3 linked regions of the Lytechinus pictus genome follow. The protein of the gene in region 1 interacts with the protein of each later gene in a pairwise test. Links are inferred from orthologs where the notes say so. Each region holds a gene or a part of one and is shown in the gene's direction. Other genes may lie near its edges.

Region 1 (7,183 bases):
AATTTTCTTTAATGTATATTGAACCCAAATAAATCAAGTAAATCAAGTAAATTAAAAGACAAGTTAAAACTACTTAAAAAAACGAAAAATAATTACAAATTGTAAATTCTACATTAAGTGTTAATTACCGATTCAGATTTTTTTTTTACAGTGTACTTTTCCTTTTTTTAAGGATGTTGTATTGCCTTCTCTCAAATCAAAATACACATTCACATTCCATAAGCAAGTTGTACAAACTATTTGAAACATGATTAAAATTATACAATAAATCCATAACAAATATAATTATACAAATTATACATCAAACTTCAAAGATACTAGAAATTAATACTAATGCGTTTCAGCAATTACAAAATGAAATGTTAACAAGATGTGTGAAATGATATGAGAGGGAAAAAAGATAAAAAGTGTTGTTCTACCTCCTAACCCCCCCCCCCCCCGTCCCCAGGTTAGGAGCACCCTCCCATTTTTATGCCTATAATCTACATGGAAGGGACTACAATTCTCCGTATTGTTTTTTATTTTTTTCTGTGTTTTTGTTTATTTTGTTTTGTGGTTTTGTCTCTCGTTGTATATATACATTTGCCTCACTCTCCCTATACATTCTTTTAATTAAGATTTTCCCATTTCCTTAAATGTAGAGACATCTTACCTCTACCTAGCGCCAGTCTTCTTTCTTCCCATTCTTCTTCTTTAAATTTCCTTTTAATTTCATCCATGGTTATAAGTGCACCCTTTTCCCTCCCTTTGAAGATTAAAAATTTGACAAATAATTGACTAAACGTTCCTTTCCTTCGTCCTTTAATTCTACACCTACAAGAATTTCCTCCCAGCTTAAATTACCCGTAGAAATAAAACCAAACATCTCCTTACAATTATCCCAAACCAGACAAGCATATTCACATTCCAAAAATAGATGGCGATATGTTTCCTCCTCTTTTTTACAATAACAACAAAGATTATTCTGTGAGATTTAAAACGGAACAAGTGATAATTTGTATAAGCAATGCCGTGCAACATTTTAAACTGAAACTCTCTTAATCTACTGTTCAGAGTACATTGTCTTGGTCTCACAAAAATGTGTTCAATCTTTTCATAAGAAAAACTATATTTGTTTTTTTAACCTTTCGAAAACATCAGGTATTGCGAAGTTACATTTCATAAAATTTGCATAAACGTTTTTAGATACTAACTCCTCTATTGACAAAATTCTTTTTCCAGATATAAATGATATTTCTTCCCTAAAAGAAGCCTCTTTGCTATCTATTTTCATATTTCGTTTCCAGCTGACTGGAAAAGTTTTATAAATTGACTCTATCAAATGAAAATCATTTATGTTTAAACCCTGTCTTCGGAAGTACGAAAATGACCTTCAGTTTCCATCATAATCCATATGTTTCAATCTGTAAATATTTTTTTCATATATTTTTTGGTTAAATATGCATTTCCCTTCAATTCGTAAAAAAATTATTGTTAAAACATATCTCATTTCCTTTAAATGTTTTAGATTTTAATTCTTCGTCTCTATCCATACTTTTTAACAAATCTATATAAAATTGCGGCAATGCTATCTCCATCAATCCGAGCAAGTAATCGCATGAAAATATAAAATTTCCTCCCAGATGTTTTGTGGAATAATTGAAATATTGTTTCCATTTCATTGCATTATTTTCTTTTAGTCTTTTAATCCACATAACTCTCTGTGCCTTTATTAACCATTGAAAATTCATCATTTTCAAGCCGCCTTGATGGTAATCTAAATACATCATTCTTTTGTTAATCTTTTGTTAATCTGCCACCCCACAAAAAAGTAAAAGCCAACTGATCAAGTACAACATAAACCCATCCTGGGATTGGTGTGAGAGATGCCACATATATGAATTTTAAAAATATAAATTGCTTTAATAATTGTATTTTGCCCATCAAAGTTAAATCTCGTTACTTCCACCAGTTTAACAACTTCTTTATTTTACTTAATATTTCTTTATAATTCAATCTTTCTTTTACTTCTACATCTAAAGAAAAAAATACACCGAGAATCTTTATAAAATCCACATTTTGGCCAAAAGATAAATCATATTATTTTCCTTCAGAGGAACCTAATAATAAAACCTTCGTCTTATCGCTATTAACTTTAAGTCCTGATACTTTTCTGAATTTTTCTAAAATTTTTATTACTTTTTTGACTGAATCTAGATCTCGGACAAAAATAGATATCATCTGCATACATAATCTGTTTTACTTCTTCCTTTCCAAAGGAAATTCCTTTAACATCATTATTATATCTTATATTATGCGCTATAATATACTTCTATGTATAAAATGAAAAGATATGGTGAAAGCGGATCTCCCTGCCTTACCCCTCTTTCCACATGAAAATAGCTTGTAGAATCTCTTCCATTAAAAATACAACTTTGGCTATTTGTATATAATATTTTGACCTTTTATATATAGTAATCGATCTTTCTCCATCTGTCAGATTTTCTTCAAACACGTGATGGCGCTATTTCATCAAGAATTTCAAGCTGATGTAGGCCTATGATATCACCAAGCTCTGTTGATCTAAAAAAATCATTTGAATGGTTAGTTTATTTTATTCACGATTAAAATACATACAGTGTAAACACAATGGGCATAAAAGTCATGATCAAAGTCAACGATTATAATAATTATGTAACAATATTTGAACAATGAATGTAATACAAACTCATTTTCGGATAATCCGTTTCAGATTGGCTGTGCCACTGTGGCCAATCTGTTCTTCCCCCTGAAAAAACCCTCTTTCTTCAAGGCTTCGAACACCACCGTATCTCAGACTTCCGAACTATTTGCCCCCCCCCCCCTTCACGGGCTTTTCCTACCTTACACCGGCCCCCTATCGGGAGGGACTTCTTACAGGTAAGCTCAGAATATCCCTCCATCCCAGACTCCGGTAAATGTAACCGCCCGATGGCGATGGCCTATGTATCCCCTTACTTTTGAGAAAGAAAATATGTAGTGTTATCATCAAATAGCCGTATCAAAAATGCATTATAAAACCTGCTAAATATTGTGAATTATAAAAACACGAAATCTCGCGCTCGGACGCTCAATAAATTCATAACATAATTTTGGTCCCGATAGTATGTCATAGCCTTGTTGCAAGGGTTACACTAGAACCTTTGATCACAAAATAATGCCTCAAATACCTTATAGCACCCTAATTTCTTTACATAAGAAGGTATATCATGAATTGTTGATTAAAAACCCATATTTTTAAACTATTTTTTCCATTTATCGACTTGAAATAAGATTTAATCTCATGTAACAATATATTAAGTATTTCATTTTTTCAATTATTCATAATCATTCCTTTCCCTCTTTGCATCAAATAATCGTTGATATGAATTGAACTAAGAGCATTTTTTGTTGGCCATAAAACTTTTTTTACACCCCTTCCCCATTTGGCAGTATTATAAACCCCATTATTCAACTTGCCTGATGTTCTGCGTGCTATTCCCACTTACTGGATGGTAAGTGATTGTGGTCTGCATGAACTTGACATACATACATGATCATCATACTTTAGTCCTCATTATTTTGCTCGTTTAATTATAAGGCATTTTCAAAGTTTATTTTCTGTGTCCGAATTCTTACTTTAAGTATACACTCCCCTTTTTCTTCTCCTCCTTCTTTTTTTCTTCTTCTTCTTCTCCTCCTCCTTCTTCTTCTTTGATCTTCTTCTTCGATCTCTTCTTCTTCCCTTTCTTCTTCTTCTTCTACTTCTTCTTCTTCTTCAAGTTCTTTTTCTTCATCATCATCTTCTTCTTCTTCTCCGAAGTTCTTCTATCCCTTGGTTTTCTAATCTTTAGTCTCTCAATTTTCTTTTTTGTTGTTGTTGCTTAATTACAAATAAAAAAACAACATGTTTCTTGACCGTGTTCCTTGTGAAAGCCCTCAAATGTGAAGTTTCCCAATTACAATGCCGGGAAACACCTAACTTGAATATCGCTTGCTATTAAATCATTGTTATTTCACCTTATTTCAGGAATGCTTCTATTTATTTTTTGATATAGTTATTTTTTTTTATAATCCGAGATGACGCATCCATTAAGTGCGCATGCGCCGAACACCTCAGAATCTATAACGTGGCGAAGATACCTCCGAGAATCCAGAAGAGATAAGATCATCAAATATCTTGTTTTTGCTTGATTTCAAAACGTTTTAAGAGGTTATCTTTTCAGAACCCCAAATTAACAACTTAGGATGTCTTCCTCCGGAGATTTCAGCAATCCTTTGAGGAAATTCAAGCTTGTTTTCCTTGGCGAGCAGAGTGGTAAGTTTGCCGGTATCGCACTGGCGACGCCCGGCCCCCTTTTCGTGATCGTGTGCTGTATGATATCGTATCCAACGCAAATGCCATTGCCAATGCATGTCTATGTAGAAATAATACGTGTACCGGGTAACAGATGAATGATGCGGCGCTAATGCAGTTTCTCACAGGAACTCTACCCTAGCCAGGAGGCTCCTAGAGAGTAAAAATCATAACGTGTGCTTACCCTCAATGCAATGGAGCCTGGAATTGCTTCCCATACATCTACACACACCGCCCAAAAACCTGAAACTTTCGCCCCCGAGGGCCGAGACTAGCCAGGCGGCTTCTAGAGAGTAAAAATCATTTACTAACGAGTAACGTAAGGTTACTCTCGTACGAAGCCAGGCCTTCTATCTCATAGACCCACACAGAGCCAGACAAAACCTGAAACCTTCACCCCCGAGATTTCTACTTTCCTTCTAAAAGATCTAGCTCTAAATCATGTACATGGGATAAAACTTAATTTCCGACATTTCTACGCTCTCGTTGTTATTTTTAAAACAAGAATTCATCAAAAAAATGAAAAAATATTGTGAAAAGACGGAAGAGACTTGCCCGATGTTTACGCCGCCATCTTGTTTCTTATTGTACTTCCCCAACGTTACGGACACGAGCGTCGCGTAACGTTGGGGAAGACAAAAATTGGAATCGGCGAGTAAGCTCCAACATTCTTCAACGAGAAGAAAATCGGTGCTTAAATGTACATGTATAAATGACAAATATTTGGGGAAAGTTGCTACATATCGTTAGGTAAGTTAAGTTTCATAGAAAACTGATTTTATTTAAAATCTAATAAACAATTCGCACATTCCCGCAATCCCATGGAAGTGTTGCATGCGCTGTGCCTTGATATTCCTGTGCGCCAAGCCTTGAAATAAGCAGTTGCAGACCAGGGGCAATTTTTCAAAAAAATTGCCCCCGGCTCACGGGCTTTTTACAGGAACCGGGGGCAATTTTCTGGAACCAGGGGCAATTAAAAAAAAAAATATATAACGGTGAACCACACTGCAAATTTGTTTATAGTAAGCGCAGCTCCTGCAATTTTTTAATTAGTACATGAATAGCATGCTAAGTAATAGGCTTATTCAAACATTTAAGAAATCAGATTTAAATGTTTAAGTGTGTTTTGACACCCTCACTCCACATCCCCTTCACAACCACACACACATGGGCTTATTTATTTTTCATCTTTAATGAACCACGAACAATGAACCCCCCCCCCAAAAAAAAAAATCTAAATAAATGAATAAAATAAAAATATAAAAAGAGAGAGAGAGGGAGATGGAGAAAGAGAGAATTCAGATCAAATAATAATAAATTTAGAAAAAAATATACAAATTTTAAGGTTTTTTTCATGGTTAGAATCACGGGTGTGGGTGAGTGTTTGTGTGTGATTGTGACTGTGAGGTGCATCTGGATTGCATATAAATTATGTTAAAGAAATAAAGAAATGAAATCAATATCTAACTCAGTCTATTCAAATTCCAGCACACAGGCACAGGCTATGTACATGTATTGTAGGTTCATGTACCTTAAGTTTTTCACAAGTTATTTGAAAATGCAGATCTCCACAGAAAAATGCCTTTCATTCTGGGAGTCTAAATTCTGTGAAAATGTATTCATTAATAACTTAAATATTCATCACAATGAAGAAATCATTAAGTTTTTTGACAGTTTTCAAAAATTAACATGAAATCTAAACTCTATCTGAAACGGAATAATTCACAACTATAAGCTAAGTAATTTTGGATTATTAAGGCTCCGTTTTGACAAGCAAAGTCGGCGACTGTGAGGATAAAAGACTCGTACATCGTATGTGCTGTGAACAGGGATTTATCTCCTGTGCAATTCGAATTACTATATCACAGAATTGTGATATCCCAACTGGAAATGTGTGCATTAGAAATTGCACATGGTGAAGTATGGAAAAACTGTCACCGCTACCGGAATCACGCGCGCACATGTATTACAGAAAAAAAAAGACGGACGTAGCTCAATTTTTATGGTACAGAAAAAAAGATGCACTTGGCAATTTGAAACTGTGCTTATCGTAAATTGAAAGTTACTTGATTTTGGCTTTTCAGATATTTAAATTACATGTATGAAATGGCTTCACTGCTCACTCACGATGGGCGCAATTACCTGGAAAATATTTGCATCCGGCCGTCAAAATTTTGATGATTTGGGGGCTTTATGGGCGCAATTGATGGCTTTATGAGCGCGAATTTGCGCTCAGCGCCGGCTTATTTCAAGGCTTGCTGTGCGCCAAAAGTTATATGCAACGGGTCTGGTGGGGAAATTTGCTCAAAGTTGGCCGATACGAAACTGCATTAGCACCGAATGAATCATGGTATTATGCTATTGGTAATCATTATTAGGCATTATCGTGAAATTGGAAACCATTTTGCGATTTCCACTGGAAAATCAACAACAAGGCACGACTGGTGGCTTCCTATATTCAAATTAACCACTTGCTGGCATATTTCTCCTGTTCTCAATTTAGAATCTACCTTATTCCATCAAACTCAAAGAGCTTAAAGGGGTACTCTGGGCTGAAAATATTTATATAGATTAATTGAGTAAAATTCACAGAGCAGAGCAACATGCTGAAAATTTCATCAAAATCTGATGATCAATAATAATAATAATTTTAAAAATGACACGTAAGAAAATACAAAAGAATAAGTGGTGTTATGCAGTCATCTGTTAGCTCATTGAATATTCATAAAGACATGAAAGATGCAAATCTGGAAAATACCATAACTTTGTTATTCTTTGTCCAATTTTGATCAGATTTTCATTGTTTTGATTGTCTGTATTTTGTTCAAG
Region 2 (7,377 bases), on another chromosome or scaffold:
TTGTTGGCTCAGTCTGTAACGCGTCTGCCCGTTGAACCAAAGATCGTGGGTTCGAGTCCACCCCGGGCGGATGACCGAAGCCAGTGCGTTGTGTGTAAACGTCTCTCCCATGTTTCATAGACGCAGGCTATATTACAATAGAAAACACTCCGTCCCTCAGTTAGGACATTAAATGGAGGCCCCGTGTAGAGGAGAGTCGCCACCTTTGCACGTTAAGAACCCATTGTACTATTCGTATAAGAGTAGGGGGAAACCGCGGTGTAGTGGTCCACCTGCAATCCCCCCAATCAGTTATATCGGGAGGAGAGACCTGCGGGTCACAGTGATTCAGTTCCCTTGTCGCCTCCCAGGCACAGGTGACGCCAAACAAATAATAATAACTTCTCTATTTAGCAGCCACCTGCCTATAGTGACAACCCAAAGTGATTCCCACTGAGGCAAGTTATGAGGATTTGAACCTGTCTATAGCAACCACCTGTCCATAAAAAGTGTTATTTTGTCTTTCCCATGGGTGATCACTATAGACGGATTGCACTGTACATATATGTGGTCAAGTTCAAAGCCTGTCAGAAGCCTTGGTAAAAGTTCTTTAATGTGAATTATAAGGGAATACCTCAAAAATTCAGATCTTATAAAGTTTAATATCTTGAATTTATATTTCATCTACTGATCATTAGATTTGAATTTTTCGTTTGATGATTTTTAGTGCCCCATATCCATTTCCATAAGTAAAAGATCGAGCCTTAACAAATTAGTGATTGCCTTTTTAAAAATCTATAAACAAGATTGCATGTATGTCCTGAAATTCTTAGCCCATTCCTAAAAATAAATGATAAAATAGTAAAAGGAAAAATAAATATTAAAAAGCAAGAATACAAAGTAATAAATTAGATATCAGTAGTTTGGTGCGGGGATTCCAGTCAGTCATCAAGTTTTTACATCAAGTTTTAGTGTCCGATTACTGGGGTGGTTGGATTAAAAATAGAAAATCAGCTTACATTTAAATAAATAATTGAACATCCTATAAACACTTCTTCGGGTCAGTATACAAATTATTACAGTTTCGATTGACGCTCGCGTTATATGTTAAGATACAGGGGCCGGGGGGGGGGCTGGAGGGGCTTCAGCCCCCCCCCCCCCCACTTTTTTCCAAAACCGTGTACAAAAACGTAAAAATGACCATATGATTGTGATTTTTAGCATGGTCAGCACTCAGCCCCCCCACTTTCAAAACCGTTCCGCGGCCCCTGAGATACATACGCATCCTGTTCATGACAACAAAAATTTACAATATCCTCTCGAGTCTGAATGGTACATAATTTCATTGTGCGTTTCGCGCTCAAACAACCCTATTCATACAGATGCGCCATAGGCCTATTCAACGGATTTTGTTTATTGTCGCCATCCCCAATGATGATGCCACTCGCTATTGTGTATGTCTTACAGGTCATGGTCACGGAATTTAGTGAAAATCCATGGTCATGGTCAGCAGCTGACCATCGTCCTGCTATTGTGACGTAATCGATGGTGGCATTTATCGCTTATTGCTGAACAAAGAATATCACGCCTATTAATTCAGATATACATTGTACGTTTCATTTTTTATAAGTTTACTGATTAGAAGCAATAGACACTACACTATTCCCAATTAATTATAGTCCAATTTAAATCTTTAGAATCGGTTAGGCTTTACACGTAACAACGGCGGGTCTTAATTGCTATAGTACCCTTTGACTTAAGGGCAATTTGCAAAATCCAATTAAGATTAAAATTTCACACATTCGATTCGAGGAGGAGGGATTTTTAAGCAAATTTTAAGTCATGAAGTATCATATATGCGTAAACATGCAGGGAAAAAAATCATTGAAATCGGATGTAAAATAAGCAAGTTATATTGCATTTTAAAGCTTTGCAAAACAACATAAAAGAGTATGCAAATGAGAAAGATGGTAATTAAATATTCATGCACTCAATTTCTTTTGCATTTTGTTATATGAAGAAGATCTGAGGAAGTATCTGTTTCAAAATAAGTTGCTGAAATGGAAAATTGACATCAGGGAAGAATCAAACTTTAATTCATCATGAAACGATGAAAGGATTTCATGTAATATGCAAAATAAATAGTGAGTGAGTGACGTTATCCGCATTTGCATATTGACTACAATAACTGTTTTGGGAACTTAAGCAAAAGTTTAATACGTCGAAATTTCCCTTCTCACATCCGTTTTTTAAATGAAATTTTTAGCGAGGTTGTTTGATTGTTATTCTTTTCATTCACATTAACTTTCTAACAAAATATGTATTCTCTGTGAACCGATTTTTTCGCTTTTTTTAAATACATTACATAGATTAATGTTTTTATGTTTTAAATAAATTTTGATCTCCATATGCGCTAGCGTGCCTTAGAGGGAGGGGCAGCGCGAAAACATTTCGAAAATGTTTTATAGGCCTATATAGAAATCGAAAATGACTCGCTCGAGAGGTAATAGGGATCCCTATAGTAAAAAGATTCACTGACATAATTATTATTTTTACTATTTTATTGAGATGACGTCATAATCCCCATCTAAATTGCAAAATGCATGCAGGTGGGTAAGCCTTTAGGTCGGGGGCACTGTTCCCCCGAGAAATTTCCCAATTCCGCTCCCTATATCTCAAGACGCCCGCGTTTCATGAAAGAACTTGCCGCCTGTCGGACGATAGTATCCGACTTGAATTTGATCGGCTGAAAAGAACTGTTACGAAATGCTAAATGTCGGATAAAATTTGACTTTTCGAAAAAAAAATTCTGAGTCTGACAGGTCCTTTCATGAAACACTCTCCTGTTTTATCCGACAGTTACTATGGGAACTGTGCTTCTCAGCCAATCGAAATTAAGAAAAGTTGTCAGTAAGTTGTCGTATTGAATGATGACCTTGCTCCCTGCATGGTTTCCCAATTCCCCAAAACATGTGATAGCTAGGGTAAACAAAAACACTGAACTTCGATCAACAAGGCATTCTAGACCACCCCATACACATAACTTAGATTCAGGACAAACAGATTAAGAGACAGTCAATCCCATATCTTGTAAATATATTGAATAAATATTATTATAATCATTTACACACCCAACTGAATGTTTCCACTGGCTGTTCCCAAAATGTTTCTATTGTAACTTAATTACATTTGATATTCATATTTTGTTTATTTTGATTTATACATAGGTAAATACAAGTAATTATTTCCTATAGAACTCATCTATTTTATATATCCTCTTTTAATAAAACTACTCATGTATTTTTTTTTAAACCAAATACTCCTTTATGACAAAATATTATTTCATAATGACAAATCATACCTACCTGGATAATTTCATACTTATTTCCTGCATAAACAGTACTTGAATGTCAAAACAATGCTAAATTATATGTTATTCAAGATGTAATTTTCCGTAATTATTGAACTGTTCTGAATTCCTTTCGTTGCACTGATTTAGAAACATGTATTCCAATTTAATTTGTTTCTTCCTTAGTTTTTCATTTGTTGCATTATAATGACTATTTCCGATATTTTTTTTCCATCTTTGTTAAATACCCAATCTCTTTAACTTTGTTCCTGTCTCCCTCTCTTCCTCTTATTTCATTTTGTCTTGCGTTCTAACATATGTTCTCACTACCACAGTGTACTTTATTCTCTGAGGCTTTCTTCTCATATGCTGGGTATTTCAATTACTTTCATATTTATGTATATTTATTTTGTAGAATAATTATATTTTGATATTTGCCTATTTTATTCCAATGTCTGTATACCATTATTTTGTAAACTGAATGTAATTCAGCCTTTGGCTGCTATTTTCAGTGAATATTTGAAATAAATAAACCATTCAATAATAATAATAATAATAATAATAATAAACTTATTCCACCGTGGAAGGGGTAGGTCTAACAGTCTGGAACAAGCATTATGTTTAAGGATGACCGGGTGTGCGAGGGGGGGGGGGGCGGGGAAGGGGTTAAACTGAAAGTAAAAATTTTCCTTGTATTCATTGCACGGAGAGAAATGGAAAACCAGGAAGTAGAGATAGAAAAAAAAAAACTGTCCTACTAAAAAAAAAAAAAAGATTAACCTTAACAGGATTAAAGATAATATAGAAATTTGTGACTGGAATTCATTGTATACTCATATGATATCCTGATTTCTAGACAAAAAGAACTTATTAAGCCCATGAGCATGATGAGGGAAATCATGACAAAGAAAACGAAAACATTGTGGTATATCAGCTTGTCATACATCGAAGCTAAGAGTGCAGTGGCTTCCCATACAAAATGTGACGTTGTCGTTAACGTTGCAGTTGACGCATCATATCTAGGAAAAAGATACTGCAGTCTAAAAGCCCCAGTAAGTATTAATTCGGAACAATTATGTAGTAATCTAACTAGTAATTTAGTATTTTTTCAAACAAATTGATGACAGACCGGTATTTCATTATGTTCATGACTAGCCCGATCAAAAATAGCCCGGGTAATCACCTCACTTCCCGGGCTCTCTCTTCCGAACCTGATTGAGCTGATGTGATTGTGATGGAGCTGGAGCCGATGGCGCGGCATCTGCTGCTGGTGACGAACCGAGCCCGTCCCGTGGCATTTCCACCAGTCAATGCAATGGCACTGGCCACTGCTGCGCGACGCGATCTTCTGCGCTGCGGAGTCAAGTGAAGCGCAGTCACGTCATTATCTTGACAGCTGGCAGCCGTCTGTTTCGAGGAGTCTTTAAACATTTTTTATATTTCTCATACACAGACGGCTTGCTATCGAGCTATCGTGCAGCCACCAGGGGGTTTACAAACTTATTTACAATGCAAAATCCCGGCCTCGACGGGGCTCATCGATTTTTTTCTTTATTTCATAATAAAAATGAATAAAGAGAACTGGACCAAAATAAAGATTATTATTCCGTTTTGGCCTGAAACGCACCAAAACGGGGAAAAAATAAACAGAAAAAGGGGAACAAACATTGACTTTTTAGTTAAATTTTACTTCAGCTGTCGTGCAACTCCAACTTATCTGGTTGATCCGAACTTAATACATAAACATAACATAAGGCCATTATTATGATTGAGTCCCTGTACAGATCGAGTTAGAACTTCGGTCTCTGTAATTCATTGGTGAGTGGAGCCCGGGGGGGCCACTTACATTGACGAGTGGATACCATGCGCGACAAAAAAAACACGTAAAAAGGATGTCTTTTTCAAGATAGGGCACGTTACGTACGTAACGTGATAAGGGTGTCAAAAACACTAAAATGATGAAAAAAGGGTATCTATTTTCGCTAGGAAAGCTACGCGTTTAATTAGGGTCAAATTTGCGAGGGTGTAAAAAATTAATACTAAAATGTTTTATAAAGGATGTACTATTGCCCCAAGAGTCAACACGTACTACGTGTTTAGAGTACGATTTGGGCGAGATGTGGAAGGTGGGGCTGTACTAAACCCAATGATGTGGGTGAAGGTAGGCCGACGACTGACGTCCGTGACATAACAATGAAAAATAAAAATATCGCTGTCCTTGTTTAGGGGGTCAATTCAGGGAACTTGCCAAGAGTATCGTTTTGTTTCCAATACTTGTTAAGGGTATGGTTACACACGCCAATACTTGTTAAGGGATGCATTTTCAGAAAAATTAAAATACGTGTTTAGGGTGCTTTTCGAGACCCCATGGTCGTGCATGGTATCCACTCGTCAATGGAAGTGGCCCCCCCGGGGAGTGGAGCCAACGGAGTTCAGCAGAACAACCAACATAACAGAGACCGAAGCTTTTGGTCTAGTCATTATCTAGACCAAAAGCTTCAGTCTGTGTATTTGGTTGTTCCGCTGAACTACGTTGGCTCCACTCTCCAATACATAAATCAGAAATTGTTAAATAAATCCCCTGTAACGACGTTTACTCCTGTCTAGTCATTATCCAGCTCAATAACCATGATAACTTTAGCTTCCTAAATTAGCAGTATGGCCTGTTGTTAGTGTGAATGTGATGACGTTGAAGAGCTAGAGTTAACTTACTTAGGCCATTGACATTGAATTCTACGTTTTGTGGCAAAAAAGCCGCCAAATCAAATTTTTTATTCAGTTTCACTTTTCAGCACGATAAGTAATTTAGACTTTGGCCTAGCCTATACCTATTTCAAAACATTGAACTTTAAACTTGAAAGAATCCTCACTTCAGCCTTCACACCTTGGAACGATTTTCAAAAGAAATTGATGCTAAATGCTTTGTTTACGATGCGAAGCTCTCCTTCACACAACTGGTTCCTTCTTTCATGTCTTTCCTTGCGCGATATTTGTAGGGCTCACATTTTCATGGATGGGCAATTTTCAGATGAATTTGATGATTCCATGCATGGTTTTATTAACCAAATATGGAATTGTAATTTGTCATTAATCCGTCTATTCTACCCTGCATTTCCTTGCTCTTCAAGACCACTCTACCACTTTCGCAAAGTTAACCAAAAAATGATTTCAGAATCGATTCTCTAACTAAACCACAGACAAGATATATAAGGGGATAAATCATTTTAATAAACTCTCTATATATCTACTCTTCAAAGTGGGAACCAGCTATGGAAAACCCATGAAATTGTACAGAGTTGTCCACACGTGCTCCCGTTTACACGAGTAGATAAAGACAGTTTAGTAGTAAGATTTATTCATCACTGATGTAATCAATCTCATTAATGAACTGTCTTTATCTACTCTTCAAAATGGGAACAAGTGTGTACAAATCTATGGAAAATTTTCTACACACTCAGGTTCCCATTTCAGCGAGCGGAGCAAACTAGTTTACCCAATACGCTGAAATGGGAACCATCGTATACAAATCTGTGATAGTATGGATAATTGATGGTTGTGTACAAAACATGAGGGGAATGCTGAAGGGGAGAAGGAATAGACGATTTTTACATTTTAGAATTTTTTTCATTGAGTGAATATATTTCAGAGGTTTCTGGGTAGTAAAAGGTGGAATTACTCCCAGGCGCAACCCTTGAGCCCTCTCCAAAATCCCCTCTCTCATTTCCCCCATATGTTTTATACACAGCTACGTGCTGATGAGCGATGGTTTACTTACTCAACGCCAGTGGGCGTCCTTCCCCATGAGCATTTATCGAGCGTTTGGGAGTGTTTCGAAAAATTGCCGAAGTGTCCGATCTTCCCCTTGTAGTATCTTTGATTCTACTGTGCTATGATTTTGTTTTCCTGCAGTGCTTACTTGTGATGTGAGAAAGGATCAGGAATGGATAGAACTAACAGAAAAGAACTTCTAGAAACGGTGGAGAAGCAGAAGGAGGAATTAGACCGATACAAGGGAAGACTGAGAGGTGAAACTTTCATTTTACTTTTTT
Region 3 (7,497 bases), on another chromosome or scaffold:
GGGAGAATAGGGGGTGAGATAGGACTTAAGTGGGAGAAGCAGGTTGATGGAATAAGGGTCAACATATCATGGAGCCCCCGCCCCCTCCCTCTTTCACGCCCTCCCCTCCTGTTGAGAGACTGATGGCTATTGTCATGTACGCGTGAAGTCCAGAGCAGAATGTTGATTTAATGATAAATTCTGAATTGGGGCATCAACTTTTTCCTATTAATCATTTAATCAACAATTTATTAGTAAATCAATGAGATCAATCAAACATTCAGTTTTTTCAATAAATTATTTCATTAATCATCATAATCATTAAATTTCTATGATTCAATAAAAAAATGACCATCAGCCACCGGTCACTTGGCAGTTAATATTTGAATAGGCTACAATCCAGGAAGTGAGACAGAGAGAGAGAATGGGGGGGGGGGCTTGAAAATGGAGGTGGAGAGGGGAGGGTACATATGACTTTAAATTTGTAAAAGGACAAAAAGAAGAGGAATGCCCTTTTCTTTGAACCAAGTCTCAGCATATCTCGCCCTCTTGCTTGTAACAGGTACCATCACATTACTCTGACTCTCACGAACACACTTCTGAGGTCCACAAGATGAATATGCTACACTAAAATTACAATTCTTGTTCACTCATGCATTACATTTCAATTTAGTAACTCGTGAAATTTGCCTAAGAAAACAAAACTTATCTTACTCATTAATCTAGCTTAACACCCTTAGCTTTGCAAGTACCAAAGGACTAACCACTCAAAAAACTGTAAGGCTAATTCCTGCCCAGCCTAGCCGAGCTTAGTCTCTCAGGAGGAGGGAAGCGGGGGGGGGGGGGGGGGGGGGGTGGGGGGGGGTTGAGATGGAATGGAGAGAGGGCTCAGGGGTTGCTAAATGTTTTGTTGACTTTTATCCCATCAACGTATTTCACCTGCTTATGTCTTATCTTACCCCCTGTTCTCCTGACTCTCATGAACACATTGCTGAGATCCGCATGATAAAGACAAAATGCTGCACTAAAAATTGCAATTCATGATCACTCATGCATTAAATTTCAATTTAATAACGCATAAAATTTTCACAAACAACAAACTGATCACAACTGATCTTTAATTCACCAAATAACCCTCAACTTTGCAAGTACCAAACGAAAACACCTGAAAGAAATTGGAAGGCTAATTCCAGCCCACCCTAATTTTCATACCCTTTGTTTCAGTGGGCAGTGCTCGCTCAAGCATGAATAATTTTCCAACTTTTTGGTGTCATTTGAAAGTTGACTTTATTGGCTTTCCATATATGTAAGTCTTTTCCCCCAAAGTGATACACTTTATATTTGGCAGCCATTTCAAAAGTGTATAGTTTTTTTTGGGACGCACTGTATATACGACACTGCCAAGCTTCAAGCTCTAGTTCACTCTCTCACTCAGTCAAGCTCAGCTCTTTGACTGTGCACGCCCACTTCCATTGAGGATTCGGGCTGAATCCCACCCCGCCAGTTTAGGCGGCCGAGCTACGTAGAATTGCGATGAAGAGCAGCGGACCGTTCATCGGTTGTTCGCTTCTTGCGACCAGAGAGAAAAGGTGAAAAACTTTAACAAAATCGTGCAAATGCACCAAATTTTATTCTTGTGATGAGAAAATGGAGTTAATGGAATACAATAATGTCCATCTCCTGCGATAAAAGTGGTAACTTGAGGAGAAATGATCACAAAATCAAGTCAGTTGTTGAGCGAGGCCGAGCCGAGCACCGACACAGTTAATACACGCGCGCCTATGGGAATCGCGAGCTGTCGAAAAACGCCTAAAATTACACTTTTTTTTTATTTCAGCGAAAAAAAAAGCAATAGAAAGTGAAGAACATTACCATCAGACCATATCTCTAGAAAATCTTTACAAGAAATTACGAAATGACGGAAAAATAGACGCAAATTTGTGAGAAAAAAAATCTCGTAATGGGTGGGACAACTCGGCCCGCGGTCCGAGTTGTCCCTGATTCTCTACATGTATCCCTTATACATGTACACTCTGCAAAAAAAGTTCTTGGACACTTATAAAAGTTAAAATATTCCATATAGATATTTGATTAAAGGCAAATTATTGTACATGTATGTCAACATCACCAGACAATATTCCTCTTCCAGTACGACATGACATTTTCATGTGAACAGTCACGCATGGGTGGTTAAATGCTTTAAACAATAGCAATGCCAGTAAAAGAAAATTGCAAGAAATGGACCAATCAAATGCTAATGATCATGGCCATCCTGTAGGCATACATTCAACAATTTCAACAGGTGGTTATCATTTGAATTGAATGCTTAGGGATGCATCATGAGATGCATAATGAGATGGATCATTTGGACACTCACTTTCAAGATGAAGCTTTCCAACCAAGAGCGTGCAATAGCAATAGGAATGTTGCAGTCTGGGCAGTCATTTAGACAAGTGGCTTGATATTTCCAAGTTTCACCAACAACAATTTCAAATTTGAACCAGCGGTATTTGGCTCCTGATAAAGTTAGAGACCGCCCTAGGAGTGGTCGACCTAGGGCCACCACCCCTGCAGAAGATAGGAGGATAAGGATAATTTTCTTTTACTTATGCCAAGATACTGAAATTTGACATTTTTTTCATCGACTAGCTTTGACTTAAAATTCCAGTGGAATAGTGATGCATCCAAGGTGGATAACTTTCTCTTCACTTTTAGAGTGGTATTTGACTTTAAGTTTGCTTTTATTCGTTTAATGGATATTTATGCCACACAAACTTTCACAACTGAAAGAATGTCTGATCGTTTTCTTGCAATTTTCTTTTACTGACATTGCTATTGTTTAATGCCTGTAACCAGCCATGCACTGACTGATCCATTTCTTGCAATTTTCTTTTACTGACATTGCTATTTAAGCATTTAACCACCCATGCATGACTGTTCACCTGAAAATGTCATGTCATACTGGAAGAGGAATATTGTCTGGTCATGTTGACATACAATAATTTGCCTTTAATCAAATATCTATATGGAATATTTTAACTTTTATAAGTGTCCAAGAACTTTTTTTGCCGAGTGTATATAGTAGAACGCAAAACGGTTGCAGCGACTCCCATCTGTTAACGTACGATGGATAAACGTATTAAAGAATAAATGGACAATTACATGTACTTCTCTTCTGATGAAATTTTGAAATACAATGTACAATAGAGGGTCATTTTACAGCCTAAAACTTCAGTCTAATAATTGTATTCCCTCCCATGTGAATGGGATATTGACAGATTATCAAATCGTGATTAAAAAAGGACTTCCAACAAAATTTGAGATATCAGGGCCGCATCTTACAAAGAGTTGCGATTGATCCAATCAATCGTAACTCTATGGAAATCCATCAGTGTCATACTTTTGTCTACAGGAAATTTGCACAATGTCCTTTGTAAACAAAGGAGATCACACCAAATTGTCAAGAAATTTATGAATTTATGGATATACATTCATATCTAGATTTTTTTTTTAATAAACATGCATTTTATATATGTTGACTTTGCTGGCTTTCCATAGTTGCAATTGATTGGATTTGCAACTCTTTGTAAGACGGGGCCTGGGATTTGTTTCTCAAGTGACTGGTGGAACCATCAACCTTCTGCCTTCTCAGATATTCCAATTATAGGAATTGCCATTCCGGACCTCCATACAAGTAGCATACATGTATTGCACATGAAATATACAACAGAACTGTATCTGTACTAGCTTGTACATGTATGTATGTGCTATGTACAGTTGTATCTGTATGGTTGATACAGTAGATTCATGTACATGGCATTTTGGAAATTTTTCGATGCGCAAGTGAGTGTTTCATGAAGAGATTTGTCAGTGATTTTGTCACTGACTAATTCGCTCTTAGCCAATCAGATACAAAGGTTTCCAGTAGCTTTTAACAATAAATTGTCAGTGAAAATACTGACAGAGCTCTTCATCAAACGCTGTCCTGGACCCTGTAACACAAAGGTTAGCGATTAATCGTATGCTTGATTTCTACGATTGATTGTACATTGTAGTCAATGGAATCAATCGTAGAAATATGTTCTACGATCAATGCTAATCTTTGTGTTACGGGCCCTGGACCCCGTAATGCAAAGGTTTGCGACTAATCGCTAAATGAAATGTCCTATCAAGATCATTGTTGCATGCGCATTTTGCTCAGTAGACTGACTAGAAACCAAATAGTGATTAATTAATTAATAAGAATTAGTGATTAATCGCTAACCTTCGTGTTATGGGGCCCTGGTCTACAGTGGTTCCTGTAGCACATGAGAATGACAACTTGTCAGGGCTACATGTAGCAACTTTCTAGAAACCTTGCCAAGAATACCCAATACCTAAAATTAACCCATTCATGTACACTGTGTTGTCTGTAGATGTTTTACAAAATACTTATTTATATAATATTGAAAAATTGTTACATCTTTTTTGCTCTTAATCTATTACCCCTTAATTTCAATCTCTTAATAATCTGACCATTACCTTCCAGGCCAAGAAAGACGTTGCTGATAAAGAATCCGAGCTCGGTCATCTGAGAGAGAAAGTGGTGACCTTAGAACAAAGATTACAGGACAATGACCTGTCGCAAGATGATCATATCAAAGCCATCCAGTCAGAGGTAAAAAAAAAAATCATAATATCATTATTAAGAGATATCTTTTCATTAAAATATGAAATTATTTTTGGCCCTCCACGTAAAAATCTTGCTCTGTTCTGTTCATGGTAACTCCTGAAGGAACTCGGCAGAACAGCATTTTGCTGGTAAACGCCAAGCTGGTATATAACCAATTACCTATAGGAAACATGTAACGTCTAGGTTAATCAGTCATAGTGACTGACCTTATTATAGCTTGTATTCACAAAGGTACATGTAATTTCACGTTTGTAGTTTGAAACCATGGTAGCTGGAAAATGGCAAAGTGACATTATTATATTATGTTTCTATGAAATGGGCCACTAATGTAGTTGTATTGTTGTTGTTTTTTCACATGTGAATTGCCCTTTTGCTGTGGTTTAGGCAATCTGTTCATTATGAAATAATGAAAATAATAACATCATACTTACCCAGGGTAGCCACTTCAGTCTAAAAATTGTTCTGCCATTGGGCCCTACTGAGCATGATAATATTACTACCCCATCTTTAGCTGGGCACTCGCGAGTACAGTGGTGCTCAAAAGTTAGTGAACCCCACCAGAAACTGAACATGCTTAAAGTGTACAAGTTCTTCCATGTTTATGATATTTACTTGTGAAGTAAGGTGATAAAATATTACATTCATTTAAGTTTGTTTCTCTGGGCTTGCCGAACATTAGTGTGTTGTTGTTTACATTTAACACTCGGCATGAAGGAAAGCATTTTGTGGTGGGGTTCACTCACTTTTGAGCACAGCTGTAGATGAACACCTTGCAGAGGGATACAAGTGCTGTGATGGGATTGGAAAACCCTCAAGGAGAAAATTGGTGACTCTGTTCCCTTTTTTACATTTCTCAGAGAGACAACCTTGAACAAAAAGTGGAAGAAACCAGAAAAGAACTTGCAGCTGACAGAACCGAATCCAGCGAAAAAATTAGCAGTCTAGAAAACCAGGTGGGTGATCGTACTTACCATTATCATAGGCTGTTAATTTGCATATTCAGATCAACGTTTCTCTATCCCTTAAATCGTTGAACGCCAAACAGGGTAGCAGCAACCCCCCATCCTTTAATGTCTTTTGGTCTTACGCGGCCTGGGTTTGATCTCCTGACCTCCCGATTGTGAGATGGACACTCTACCAACTGAGCCAACACACCGGTACCTTTAACCACTCGACCATGAACAGTTGACGACAGAACCAAGTTATCTAAAGGCTTTAAAACTTGGCTCTATAGAAATTCTATTCCTCTGCATTGTTTATTTTTTTCCCTGATAACCCAAGGTAGGATTTTTGCAGGGTTTCGAAATCCAATGACCTAGGATCAAAACAAAGTCAATGCGCTTGTGTTGTCATATATGTTTCATCAGCCATTTCATCCTGCATGCTGGAAGAACTGCTGTATGTCATCAGCTGAGAGCTTTTTTTGGTTGAGATTGGCCGACATGCTCTTGATTTGACTGTTACACTGGTACATGTAACTATCAGACAATGACAACATGGCAGTGCTGACAAGCTTCCTGAATTGACGCTGAGGTTACTTAGTGAGAGAGAGAGAGAGAGAGAGACAATGCTCAACATTGCAGCAACTGGCAAACATGTCACAATCCTATGATTGAGAAGTATTAAATGCTAAGGTAGATTGCCAATTTGTCCATTGCAAACTCATCCACTCATCACATGGTCTACCTACATTAGTCTAATGCCATTCCGTCCATTAACATTTTGTCTATCAGCCATGTAGTCCAATAACCATTTGGTCCAATCATCACTTTGTCTAATCACCAGTTCATCTATGACCATTTTGTCTCATAACTAGTTGATCTAATAGTAATACCCATTTTATTTTCATTAATTTTTCCCAATTATCACTTAGTCCAATTAGACCAAATGGTATGTGGACTATTTAATGGCTATTGAACCAACTGGTTATTAGACATAATGGTGAGTGGACGAAATGGCAGTGAGACCATGTGGATAGTGGACGAACTTTTGGTAGGCAAAATGATAGTAGACGAGTTGGTGATTGGTATCAGATCAATTGAAAATAAACCAGTGCTATTTCTCAAGTAGTCCCACACCTTATGTTTTTTTGTTGGATCCTGCAGATCGAGCATCTCAACACAAAGATTTCGGAAGACACGGAGGAGCATCGGAGTAGCTTGAGCAGAGCGGATTCGGCCCAGACTCAACTCAGAAATGAAATCTCTGACTTGAAGAGCAGGTTGGATGCTGCACAGAAGGAGACAGGCTCACTTCAGCGGGAATCGATGGTGAAGGAGGCCCAGCTAAAAGCGCAGGTAAGTTTCTACATTTGCCACCCTTCACCCAGGGAGGGCTCGACAAAGGGCGGAATATGGCAAGGAAAAGTGAAGTCTTGATTGCACGAAATGAAGTTGAAATATCCAGATTTTGACAAACGTTCCTAATGGAAATCAACCTTTGAAGGGAACATTATCTCAAGAAGCTGGTAGTTCTGGAGAGCATTTCATTAACGTTTTTGTCCAACAAGTTGTTGGATCTGACAACTTTTATTGATTTTGATTGGCTGAGAAGCACTGTTACTATGGTAACTTTCAGATAAAACGTCTGACAAGCTCATTTATGAAACGCTCCCCTGATCAGCATAATTTTCTAGATCTGGAATAGCGGGATAATTGGCATCTTGGACTGATGGAAATGAGCCTGAAATATAAAGTGTGGTTATAAGTGCCAGTATGAGCCTGAAATAAGTGTAAGCTATGCATGAATGCTAATCTGCATGCAAACGCTAACGCGTAACCTCATTGATGACTATGCAGTAGTCTTATATATACATGTACATGTACTGCACACAACGAGAAATTTAG

Evidence for each region.
Region 2: the proteins of ras-related protein Rab6-like (region 1) and GRIP and coiled-coil domain-containing protein 1-like interact in a two-hybrid assay, tested with the Drosophila melanogaster proteins (2 studies listed by BioGRID). The link is inferred for Lytechinus pictus from reciprocal best matches to the Drosophila melanogaster genes Rab6 and GCC88.
Region 3: the proteins of ras-related protein Rab6-like (region 1) and golgin subfamily A member 1-like interact in a two-hybrid assay, tested with the Drosophila melanogaster proteins (2 studies listed by BioGRID). The link is inferred for Lytechinus pictus from reciprocal best matches to the Drosophila melanogaster genes Rab6 and Golgin97.

The regions. Positions count from the first base shown.
Region 1 is NC_087260.1:28,911,349-28,918,531, forward strand, and holds the start of ras-related protein Rab6-like, read left to right. Parts: upstream 1-4,095; 5' UTR 4,096-4,245; coding exon 4,246-4,315; intron 4,316-7,183. UniProt on the Drosophila melanogaster protein: Protein transport. Regulator of membrane traffic from the Golgi apparatus towards the endoplasmic reticulum (ER). Mediates membrane trafficking during egg chamber growth and organization, possibly upstream of exocyst component Sec5.
Region 2 is NC_087253.1:17,720,070-17,727,446, reverse strand, and holds the start of GRIP and coiled-coil domain-containing protein 1-like, read left to right. Parts: upstream 1-4,292; 5' UTR 4,293-4,380; intron 4,381-7,237; 5' UTR 7,238-7,268; coding exon 7,269-7,353; intron 7,354-7,377.
Region 3 is NC_087259.1:7,939,424-7,946,920, forward strand, and holds the start of golgin subfamily A member 1-like, read left to right. Parts: upstream 1-4,396; 5' UTR 4,397-4,636; intron 4,637-5,508; 5' UTR 5,509-5,604; intron 5,605-6,756; 5' UTR 6,757-6,918; coding exon 6,919-6,948; intron 6,949-7,497.